Linked DNA regions of Danio rerio. The protein of the gene in region 1 purifies or fractionates together with the protein of each later gene. This does not show direct contact. Links are inferred from orthologs where the notes say so. Each region holds a gene or a part of one and is shown on either strand. Other genes may lie near its edges.

The links.
Region 2: the proteins of mycbp (region 1) and arfgef2 purify together in Homo sapiens (co-immunoprecipitation; 4 studies listed by BioGRID and IntAct, with this or other methods). This does not show direct contact. The link is inferred for Danio rerio from reciprocal best matches to the Homo sapiens genes MYCBP and ARFGEF2.
Region 3: the proteins of mycbp (region 1) and arfgef1 purify together in Homo sapiens (co-immunoprecipitation; 4 studies listed by BioGRID and IntAct, with this or other methods). This does not show direct contact. The link is inferred for Danio rerio from reciprocal best matches to the Homo sapiens genes MYCBP and ARFGEF1.

What each region holds. Positions count from the first base shown.
Region 1 is NC_133194.1:32,554-36,340, reverse strand, and holds mycbp (C-Myc-binding protein), read right to left. Parts: upstream 2,055-3,787; 5' UTR 2,045-2,054; coding exon 2,030-2,044; intron 1,546-2,029; coding exon 1,473-1,545; intron 1,381-1,472; coding exon 1,332-1,380; intron 1,151-1,331; coding exon 1,021-1,150; intron 811-1,020; coding exon 763-810; 3' UTR 638-762; downstream 1-637. UniProt on the Homo sapiens protein: May control the transcriptional activity of MYC. Stimulates the activation of E box-dependent transcription by MYC.
Region 2 is NC_133198.1:21,945,012-21,948,944, forward strand, and holds part of arfgef2 (brefeldin A-inhibited guanine nucleotide-exchange protein 2), read right to left. Parts: intron 1,306-3,933; coding exon 1,275-1,305; intron 976-1,274; coding exon 852-975; intron 1-851. UniProt on the Homo sapiens protein: Promotes guanine-nucleotide exchange on ARF1 and ARF3 and to a lower extent on ARF5 and ARF6. Promotes the activation of ARF1/ARF5/ARF6 through replacement of GDP with GTP. Involved in the regulation of Golgi vesicular transport.
Region 3 is NC_133199.1:22,646,203-22,650,135, forward strand, and holds part of arfgef1 (brefeldin A-inhibited guanine nucleotide-exchange protein 1), read right to left. Parts: intron 1,711-3,933; coding exon 1,552-1,710; intron 316-1,551; coding exon 171-315; intron 1-170. UniProt on the Homo sapiens protein: Promotes guanine-nucleotide exchange on ARF1 and ARF3. Promotes the activation of ARF1/ARF3 through replacement of GDP with GTP. Involved in vesicular trafficking.

The sequences.
Region 1 (3,787 bases):
TGAAGGACTCAATTAGTTTGATCAGGTGTGTTTAATTAAGGTTGGAACTAAACTGCAGAGCTGCGGCCCTTTTGGAGCTGAGTTTGACACCTGTATATTCTGCTAACACATAGCTTTAGCAGATCACCTGCAGCACAATAAGATGCATCACAGCTGTTTAACATGAGCAGAGGCTGAACACGGCGTCTGGAGACGGTAAAGCTCATCTACACGTGTCGGTGCTCAGAGCAGATCCTGCAGGCCTCTGTTCATTACTCAGGAGCTGCAGTGCAGTCATTACACCACACACACACACACACACACACACACACACACACACCGCTTACTCCGGCTGGAGAATACACACCACACACTGAAGACGTGCTGCTGTCCCTCTGCTTACTAGAGCACCTGACCAGAGACCGAGAGTGACATGGCATTAGCATGAACACACACACACACACACCATCTCACCCGTTGATCATCATCACTCCTCTAGATGTGATGGTAAGAGCTCAGGAGTCTGCAGTGTGTGTGTGTGTGTGTGTTCTGGATGTGTTCAGGGGCGTTCAACTGAAGTCCATGTGAGTATAGTTTGAAGAATCAGTAAAGAGGAACAGTGAAGTGCTCAACACACACACACACACACACAGCAGGATCATTGCAAAATAATATTTATTCAACATCAGACACAAAGCTGAACAGAAACAATCAACAGGTCTTCAACATCCTGTCACTAAACCAACACACACACACACTTTCTGCAGATCTGCTGGAGCTCCTCTACTCGACTGCTGCTGCTTCATCCTGTGGCGGCTCATACTGCAGCAGCTGTGGAGACACACACACATACACACACACACACACACACGAGATTTGGCTAAGCTCATGTTTAGCAGAGTAATGTGTGAGGGAGCCACTATGTGTGTGTGAGAGAGAGAGACAGAGTACACAAGCACACCTGTCTGTGAGTGAGTGAGCATGTGTGTGTAAGAAAGCTAGCATACCTGTGTAAGAGTGTGTGTGTGTGTGTGCGCTCACCCTGCTCTTCAGCTCCTGGTTCTCCTCCATCAGCTGCTGGTGTTTCTGCTGCAGTGTGTTCAGCTCCTCCCGCAGACTCTCCGCATCCTCCGCCTCCACTCCCGAAACCCCCAGATGATGCTTGATGAAGCTGAAGCGGCTCGTTAAGGTTGGGTTAGTTAAGATAGGAGGAGGCTAGTTTGGGCTATTCTATCTCTTACAGCAGCGCTCATGAATTTGAATAAAACATTGATATTATTCACAAAGATGAGCACAAACTCAGCAGACAGCGGGAAACATGGCGGGGTGAGGGTGTGTGTGTGTGAGGATACTCCAAGGCATTGTTGGGCTTCTCCGTTTCCTCGTACAGCGCCACTAAGACTGAAACGCAGACATCAGATTAAACACACGCTGAGGAATGATATTCATCATCATCATCATCATCATCACGGGCTGAAACTGCCTGGACTCACCGTTGGTCAGGCTGTCGAGGACTCCAGCTTTCTCCAGATATCTCCTGAACTGCTCACGCTTCGACTCGGATGCCTGAAACAGAAGAGAAACACACATTACAGAAACAGTTCATCAGGCGGTGTTGTCTACAGCAGAGTGAGCTACACACACACACACACACACACCGCTGGAGCTCTCCACACTCATCATTACAGCTCCAGCTGAAGCTCATCAGCTCAGAGAAGACGCTTCGCTCCAGACACCACACACAAACACGCATATAAACACACACACACACACACACACATAAACACACAAACACACATACAAACACACACGGGCAGCGCGTTTCTTTAGCGCTGGTTTAACACTGGTCTGCGTGTGGACCGTCGCCTGAGGCAGACAGGAATGAAGGAACCTTCAGCGCGGGTCTTCAGCTCCTCTGACTGAGCTCAGCTGCGGACGCCTCTCAGCGCTCTCCGTTTCCGGTCTCATTAAACGGCGTGTCTAAGCTCGACTTTCAGCGGTTAGCTTGTTTGTGTTTGTGTGTGTGTTTGTTTGTTTGTTGTTTACTCACTCTGTAATGCGCCATCGCGGACGACAGACACCAAATGTTTGACTCGCTGATAGACTCTCGCGTGCACATGCGCAGAGGAAAGACGGAACAAACACACACACACCGTCACCCAGGCAACGCTTAAAGGGGCGGCAGCGACATCCATAGATATATACACTAGATATCGCATAGGGAGCCTGAGCATGCGTCAATAGTGCCGCCACATTGGTACAGTGCTCCCAGGACAATGTCATTCAAGACAGTGTTATTACGTGAAGATGCGGGACTTTAGCGCTGTCTACGGGTGTAGTAACGAGCAAACAAAGAAAACAAAGCACAAAGGCAGAACATTTCATAGGTAAGATTAAGTTTTTTACGTTTTTGCATGTTCTGAACTTTTGTGCTAAACAGGTAACGTTATTGATGATAATACAGTCACTACTGCATTCACCATACGGCAAAGCAGCTCCAACTCGCACTAAACACTCGGCTTATGCTAGTTTTGTTGAATAAAATCAGCAAACAATGCAAAAGAAATATGAAAACGACATGCTGCGCTGCCAGAAACATGTATTACTGTCGGCAAGTGAACGAGTCGCTCACCCTCACAACACGACACACCACAACACGACACACCACAACACAACACACAACACGACACACCACAACACACCACGACACAACACAACAACACGACACACCACAACACAACACACAACACGACACACCACACCACACCACGACACAACACAACAACACGACACACCACAACACAACACACAACACGACACACCACACCACACCACGACACAACACAACAACACGACACACCACAACACAACACACAACACGACACACCACACCACACCACGACACAACACAACAACACGACACACCACAACACAACACACAACACGACACACCACAACACAACACGACACACCACAACATGACACACCACAACACGACACACCACACCACAACACAACACACCACAACAACACGACACACCACACCACAACACAACACACCACAACAACACGACACACCACACCACAACACGACACACCACAACACAACACGACACACCACAACACACCACAACAACACGACACACCACAACAACACGACACACAACACGACACACCACAACACGACACAACACACAACACAACACACCACAACACACCACAACACGACACAACACAACACACAACACGACACACCACAACACACCACAACAACACGACACACAACAACACGACACACCACAACACGACACAACACGACACACCACAACATGACACAACACAACAACACGACACACCACAACACAACACAACAACACGACACACCACAACATGACACACCACAACATGACACACCACAACACGACACACCACACCACAACACAACACACCACAACAACACGACACACCACAACACGACACACCACACCACAACACGACACACCACAACACAACACGACACACCACAACACACCACAACAACACGACACACCACAACAACACGACACACAACACGACACACCACAACACGACACAACACACAACACAACACACCACAACACACCACAACACGACACAACACAACACGACACACCACAAGACGACACACCACAACACAACACAACACACCACAACACAACACACAACACACCACAACACGACACACCACAACACAACACACAACACGACACACCACAACACGACACACCACAACACAACACGACACACCACAACACGACACAACAACACG
Region 2 (3,933 bases), on another chromosome or scaffold:
TGCACTGTCACTTTAAGAGCAGTACAGTTCTGATTTATGGTTTCACTTTCACATGTCTTTTGATCCTCAACTTGTTTGTTTGTTACATAATTGAGGGTTAATATGACTAATCACTAATCACAGCGTTTTGACAAAAATGTACATGTATTTGACCATTAAAGCGATCAAATTAAGATGACTTTAGATGTGTGCTCTGCTCGTCTCTGAGGCTGAGCACATACACACTAAATGAGATCTCTTTTGCACTTTGAAAAACATGAATGATTCGAATGTACATCAATGAATGATTACAAATGTTACATTACTGTACATGTTTTTAGTAGTACTCACGTGGAACTGAGCTTTGCAGAGCAACAAATGTGTACAACTGGAAAGGGGCGGTATATAATGCAATAATTGTTTTATCTCGATTAATGTTTTTCATAATCAATAGAAGCCAAAATCAAAATCGAAACATAATTTTTGATTAACTACAAACCCCTACAATATCTTACTAAAAAAAATCATAAAAAGCTTTTTTTCTGACAGTTTGTAGTATTTTCTGAATTATGTAATAACAAAAAAGAGCCCACTGTAAAAATCTTTTAATCATATAAAGTCTAAAAAATCAATATTAAAATCTTAAATTTTTGCACCCAACTTCACCTAAAACTTCACATTAAATCAAATTATTCCATAAAATTATATAAACCTATTGCATATTTAAACCAATTTTTAAAAAACTTGTGATATAAATATCAATAAATCTGCTGAGAAAGAATGATGACGACAACTATTAGTTGTTTTGGTTTTAACCCCATTCACCTACAATGCCTTGAGTACAGAAGAAGTGGATGAGAGACTCTGCATACCTGTAGGCAATCGAGAGATGTGCTGACGATACGTGGAGACTTGGATTGACATGCCAGCTCAAAAGGCAGGACATATTTGTCAGCCTCAATGTAGTTGGCTCTGGGAGGAACAACAGTGCCGTCCCTGATACACACAAGATGCACAGAAAATATCAGCAAACGGCACTGAAATATACTTCACTAAATAACAAACATTCCAATCTTTCAGTCAGCAGCCCTTCAGTGTTACAGTGGGCTTTTTGTTCAGTATGGAAATCTGAAATGATTACATAACCATAATGGTTTAGAATAAAGATGATGCATTAAGCTTCAGAGAGCCTTTTCATAAACAAACAATAAGCGTTATTTTAATATTACATCAATGTACATCACAGGACACTGCTCAATGGATGCTGCATGTTACTAAAAGAGATGTAAACTTACTTCTGCTTTTCCAGTTCATGCTTGATTTCATCTAAAAACAAACAGGCAAAAAAAAGATCAATTAACATCAATTTTGTGACCTCTCTTTAAAGCAAATAGACAGGAGAATTTTGAAAATTATTACAATATAGGATCATTTATTTACATGTTCTTGAGCCTAGAAATTAAGGCTGCAGGATATTTAAAACATTTTTTTGACATTTCAGTATTTAGAATTTATGTGATATAAATATCCTTTGGAAAGGATTCATTGATTTTGATCAATAAGGATGATTTTATATTAGTGTGAATAATTTATTAAATGTTAGATCAGAGAAGAGAAAAAATAGGAAATAAACCATGCATTTGGTTTCAGGGTAGTCCAATTGTATTCATGTAAAGAAATTAATTAAATAATTTAACTGCATAGTCTTTACTCTATAAAGAATTCAATAAATTATTGTTTATTAGTTACAATAGTAAATCTCTTGTGCCTGAATGCTTTAAACATTTTAAAAGCCTTAAAAACACAGGCAAATCATTATCGTTTACTTCGTTATGGTTTCATTTTCCGACTCCAAGTCCAATATTTTCCCAATTCAACATTGCATATCATGTGCATATTGCGATTTCAATACTGAAATGATATATTATGCAGCCCTACTAGGTTTGTACTTGAGCTTTTGTGTTCAGTAAAATATTAAAATGAACAGGACAATGGGGTAGAAATTACAGCTCAGCAGCAGGAATGCAAAAACTTAAACTTTTTCTAATATAAAAACACTTCACATCCAGCAGAAAACAGAAAGGTTCAAGCACAGTGTTTAACTTTTATTATTTAACATTTAGGAAATAATGAAGTCCATTTGAATGCAAATAATTTTTATATTATGAGTAGACAATAATATGCACAAAGCTAAGTTCAATCTAAGTTTTAGCTCAAGTGCTCAAAATCATAAATTAAAGCAGTAATTGCCTCTGAAATGCTCATTCTGTTGTAACATACTCAGCCTCATGCAGTCTAAACATCCGTGATCTTTGTTGAGGAAAAAAAAAGCTTTTATTCTGCTCACATTGAATCTGAACTTACAAGTTTCAAATAAACTGTAAGATGACTCTAAAAGGATTACATCCAGCCGGCTTGCACGGCAGTCATGTTAGATGAGAAATCTTTTTATTTCTGCATGTTTGTGAAAGCCATTACTTTCAAAGGCTACATTTCTGCATTCTGACAGACACCCAAGACTCCAGAAAAATAGATTAATCTCTGCAGTCTGCATGATACATCTCTAACAAACATACCTGTAGACTGTGAATAACATAAGAATCATCACACTGAAGAAAAAGCTTCATTTCACACAATCGTGTGCGATTTGTGTTGGTGTAACGTGAAGGAATTAAGTTAAATTAAAATTTTTCGTTTTTAAAAAATTCATTTGACAAACTGAAGTGGATTGAACATAAAACAATTAAGTTGTCCCAAAAAAATTGTGAATTGTGAAAAGAATTGTGTTGTTTTAGCTCTATTTAAATAAGTTTAAACAATCAAAAAAATTTTGGAGTACACATCTTATCTGTTCACAGCAGGCAAGTTGAAATATGACAGCGAGTTTCCTGAATTTGTAGTGGCTATGACATTATTTAAAAGGGATTTTAAAAAGCCTTATATGTGAAGATTCACCACTAGCGAAACAAAAAAACCTTACTCGTAGTTAATAACCCGTTGTTAATAGTAGTTTTGAATAGTCAACTATCTCAACCCACCCTTATGGTAAATCTTTGAATAAATTGTCCTATTATGCTGTCCTTTCAAGGAATCTGTGGATCTGGCTCACAAGACAGGTCTGAATGATTCATTCACAAATCAGACAGATCTTGATCTCGAGCTTAACTTGATCCAGTCATAGAGCTTAACTGCTCACTGGAGGAGAAAATGATCAGTGAATAACAGCTTAAATCTCTCACACAAAGCTAGTTTATCACAGGAAACCATGACCAGTTGCATTCTTCACAGCTGTTCTTTCTTCCACAGATAAAAATGACAAGTTTAGTTTTTGCAAGAATTATTGGGCCATATTATTTGCACAGTTTTAAAAAAATTCAGGAATGAAATTTGGAAATTGTGGATGAATGGTGTGTGTATGGCTAAATAAACTGATGTGAAAACAAAAAACTCAAGCATCTTCTGGACAACTTGTCAAAATAAAAGCAGAACGTACTTATAAATTACACTTTAAAAAGAGAATAGTCAAGTTGACTTCATTTTTATAATGATGCACATTGTTAATTTGTTTAATTTCAAGATAACAAGTTAATTTAAACTGACCACGTTTTACTGCATTTTCATAGAAAAATGTTCAGTAGTAATTTTGTTCCTAGTAATTTCAGTAGATTAACAGTTTCAAAATGCATTATGGGGTCTTGATCTCTTCTCCACTTCATTTTAGATGTTAAAAATGTAATTCAACAATCTGACTATTATTTAGCTTTCTAATGATCTAAACTAGGGCTGTGCCATATTGGTAAAATAAACATATCACAATTTTCTTGATCAATTAAGCGTATTTTTTAATGACTATTTTGACACACAGATGTTTTACAGTGCAAATCTGAAAGATATTTCCAAGGAAAACAATTAGATCCTTATCAAAGACCTATAACATGCTCTAAAACAGACATA
Region 3 (3,933 bases), on another chromosome or scaffold:
TTAAAATAACTAAAAGATTGCCAAAAAATCTGTCAAATCAGTATTATTTTACACTTTTACATTTTTAATTTTGCATACTGTATTTTTTGTCTCAGCATTCCAATCTGTGAACTTTTCATTAATTTATATTTTTGTTAATGAGACGATTAATGCTCTTGTGATTAACTGACCCAATCCCAGGTATTCATCAGACGTTTGTTCCTTGGTGCTGGTGATAAAGCCTTCCTTTCCCCGAACAGTTCCTGATATGTACCGAGCCTTCACTCCTGTCCCGATGAGCTGGGCCAACTCCAGCTGACTAATGCACTTCATGATCTGAAGCACATAGACAAAATGACAACACCTCATTAAACCCATCAGCCAATCACATAACAAAGGACAAACACTCAGGCTAATCAAAAACAGAATAAAATTATCTCACAAAACCTGTCAGCCAATCAAATACCAGCCAAAGAGAGAAAAACAAAATCTATTAGCAAATCACATTAAGCAGAACAAACACACAAGCTAATCAAAGACAGAATATAAACGGCTCACAAAGCCAGTTAGCCAATCACATCACACAGGAAACACAAATGGCAATCAAGAAGAGAATGACAAGATCTATCAGCCATTCATATCAAACAGGAATCACACAGGCCAATCAAAGACAGAAAAAAAACAGCTGACAAAACCTGTTAGCCAATCACATTACACAGGAAACACAAAGGCCAATCAAGGAGAGAATGACAAAATCTATCAGCTAATCATATCATACAGGACAAACTTACAGGCTGATCAAAAACAGAATATAAACAGCTGCCAAAACCTGTCAGCCAATCACATAAAACAGGATACACAAAGGCCAATCAAGAAGAGAATGACAAAATCTATCAGCCAATCACATCATACAGGACAAATACACAGGCTAATCAAAACAGAACATAAACAGCTGCCAAAACCTGTCAGACATTGACATAAAACAGGACACACAGGGTAATTTAAGATAGATTAAAAAGAGCTCACAAAACTCGTTAGCCAATCACATCCCACAGATAACACAGGCCAATCAAAACAGTATAAAAAGAGCTTACAAAACTCGTTAACCAATCACATTGCACAGGAAACACATGGTCAATCAAACAGAGAATTTCAAACCCTTAAGAAATCTATGAGCCAATCATATTGCACAGAAAACACACAGACCAATCAAGGAGAAAATGACAACACCTTACGAAATCAATGAGCCAATTACATCACACAGGAAACACAGGCCAATCAAAATGAGAATGGTAACCCTTTATGAAATCTATAAGCCAATTAAATTGCACACAAAACACAGAGGCCAATCAATAAGAGAATAACAACACTTGACAAAATCTATCAGCCAATAGCATCACACAGAAAACAGGCCAACCAGACAAAACAAAAACTCTCTCAGAGCCAGTCAGCCAATAACATCACACAAAAACACACAGGCGAATCAAAGAGAGAGTGACTGCACCTCACAACACCCATCGGCCAATCACATTGCACAGGAAACCCATAAGCCAAACAGATCAAAGAGCTCACCTCATGCCAGGAGTTTCCTAGATAATTTCCATCAGTGTGAGCCACTGTGATGAGGGTCTTGATGGTGTCGATGTTCTTCTGCTTCATTTCAGTGATGCCAGAACTGGCCGTCAAGAGTGTGAAACGGGCCAGAGCCTGTACATATGCGTCTCGCTCCAACTGGAATAAAGCATATAGAGAATAAGCGAATAATGACTACATTTTGCTCCGATTCTCATTAAAAGCTACCTGAAACTAATGAAAGGACCATGAAGATTTGAGCTTTTTGGGATGGGGGTTCCTGCATGAAATGTGCAGAAAAGAAAAAGAGCAACTTCTTAAAAATAATTGCACTTTAAAATAAAAAATGCTTGGTTCACACCAAATGCATGTTGAAGTATCCACGCGTGTAGAAATTAAACACAGCTAATTCACACACGCAAAGAGAGGCACATTTACACCAAGAGGCAGAAATGTAGAATGCGTAACGCATTTGCTAGCTAGCAATTTGTGCAATTAGCCACAATCGTATCTTCAGTGAAAAGTCCAAAAATTCAACTCACATGAGGCAAAAAAACGAGAAATCTAAAGTGAGTGATCTGATGATATAAACTACGGTTGAGAGAATTAATTAATGCGCTGTGAATTGAGAAATGACCGTTTACGAAATTTTCTAAGCTTAGTTTTTACAACCAGATGCGGCTGTAAGCTTTAAAAACAGCCACACTCTGTCAATCCTTTGACATACCACAAACGTAAAACAATCACTAATAAATTCATTGATTAATTGAAAATGTTTAGGTGAATAACAAGAATGTTCATAGTAAGCTGTGTTTACATTAATCCTGTTTAACAAAACCCGTGGTGCCTGTACATTTGGGTACTGACTGAAAGCACAAATGCTTTGTGTTCTTTGTACTCGCTAAAGGCTGATTTAAACTTCTGCGTCGAGCGATCGCCGTGACCCATAGCGCATACACAGTCGTGCATTTATACTTACGCCTGCTGTTTGTGTTGCTCAGTAAAAACACTTCCGGAACACATGCTGGCAGCTGGTTTTTATGTTCCTCTGTCGAGTTTCTTTGCAGCTCTTTTTTGTTTGGTTTAGTTTTACCTTATTGCACAAGTAGCTAAAACTCACATATTCAGAGGAAGAAGGTGGCACATGTGCAACAACTTTAATCATAAGGTAAACACAAAGCAAAAGTTTTCATCTGGAGCTCCGTCACAGGACTCAACATTTGTAAACACTCGCTCCAATGGGTTTGCGTAGCTCTCGGCCCCGCCCACACTCGTCAACGGTGCCAAGCTGACCAATCGTAGAGCTTTTACTATGTGTTGTCACGACAAAGTAAAACATTTTTAAAGGTGTGAATCAGTATCGGTGTCATCCATGGCGAGGAGTATGTGACTGTGCAATGGCTGTGCCAAACCATACACGTGTGTTCAACACAAAAGTATAAATCAGCCTTAAGAGTGTTTGATTAAAAACTAGAAGAGCGCCATCTGCTGTTAAAAACTAAACTCAGAAGTGATTCCAGAGAGAATCACAATGCCTTCCAAAGATCTAAGGATCGATCCATGAATTACACAATACATTAAATTATCATCCCAGCCCAACATTATTTTGTCCCACATATTTTAAAATTGTAATTATTTTTTAATAATATAGATAATTGCCAAAATCGTATTTTGGTTGATTAATAATATTAAAATAAATGGTTAAAATCAGAATTATTAGCATTACACTTATTTTTCTTTTTTAAATATTTCCTAATGATGTATAACAGAGCAAGACATTTTTACAGTATTTCCTATAATATTTTTTCTTGTGAAGCAGGTCTTATTTGATTTATTTTGGCTTGAATAAAAGCAGTTTTAAATTTCTTAAAACCATTTAATTAGCCTTCGTAGGCAATATTTTTGAACTGTTTATAGAATATGTTATATAATGACGTGTCTAATTACCCTAATTAACCTAGGTAAGCCTTTAAATAGCACTTTAAGCACTGCATACTAGCACCTTGACATATATCTAGTAAAATATTATTTACTGTCATCATGGCAAAGATTAAGAAAAAATCATTATTAAAAATGAGTTACTAAAACTATTATGCTTAGAAATATTTTGAAAAAAAAAATCTTTCCGTTAAACAGAAATTGGGGGAAATATAGAGGGGCATAATAGTTCAGGAGGGCTAATAACTGTAGATATCCAAGTCCTAAATCCTAAAAAAGTTTTTCCTCCTTTTTATATTCATATATGCAACCCTACACATCTTGTTTGCATTATGACAAATAAACAATTCCAGTTTTCATTACTGGCTGAATTTTCCCTGCAACAGTAGCCTAATCCAGGCAGTGATGACAGAGTTTTTAAATGGTGCTTATTTGCACAGAGAG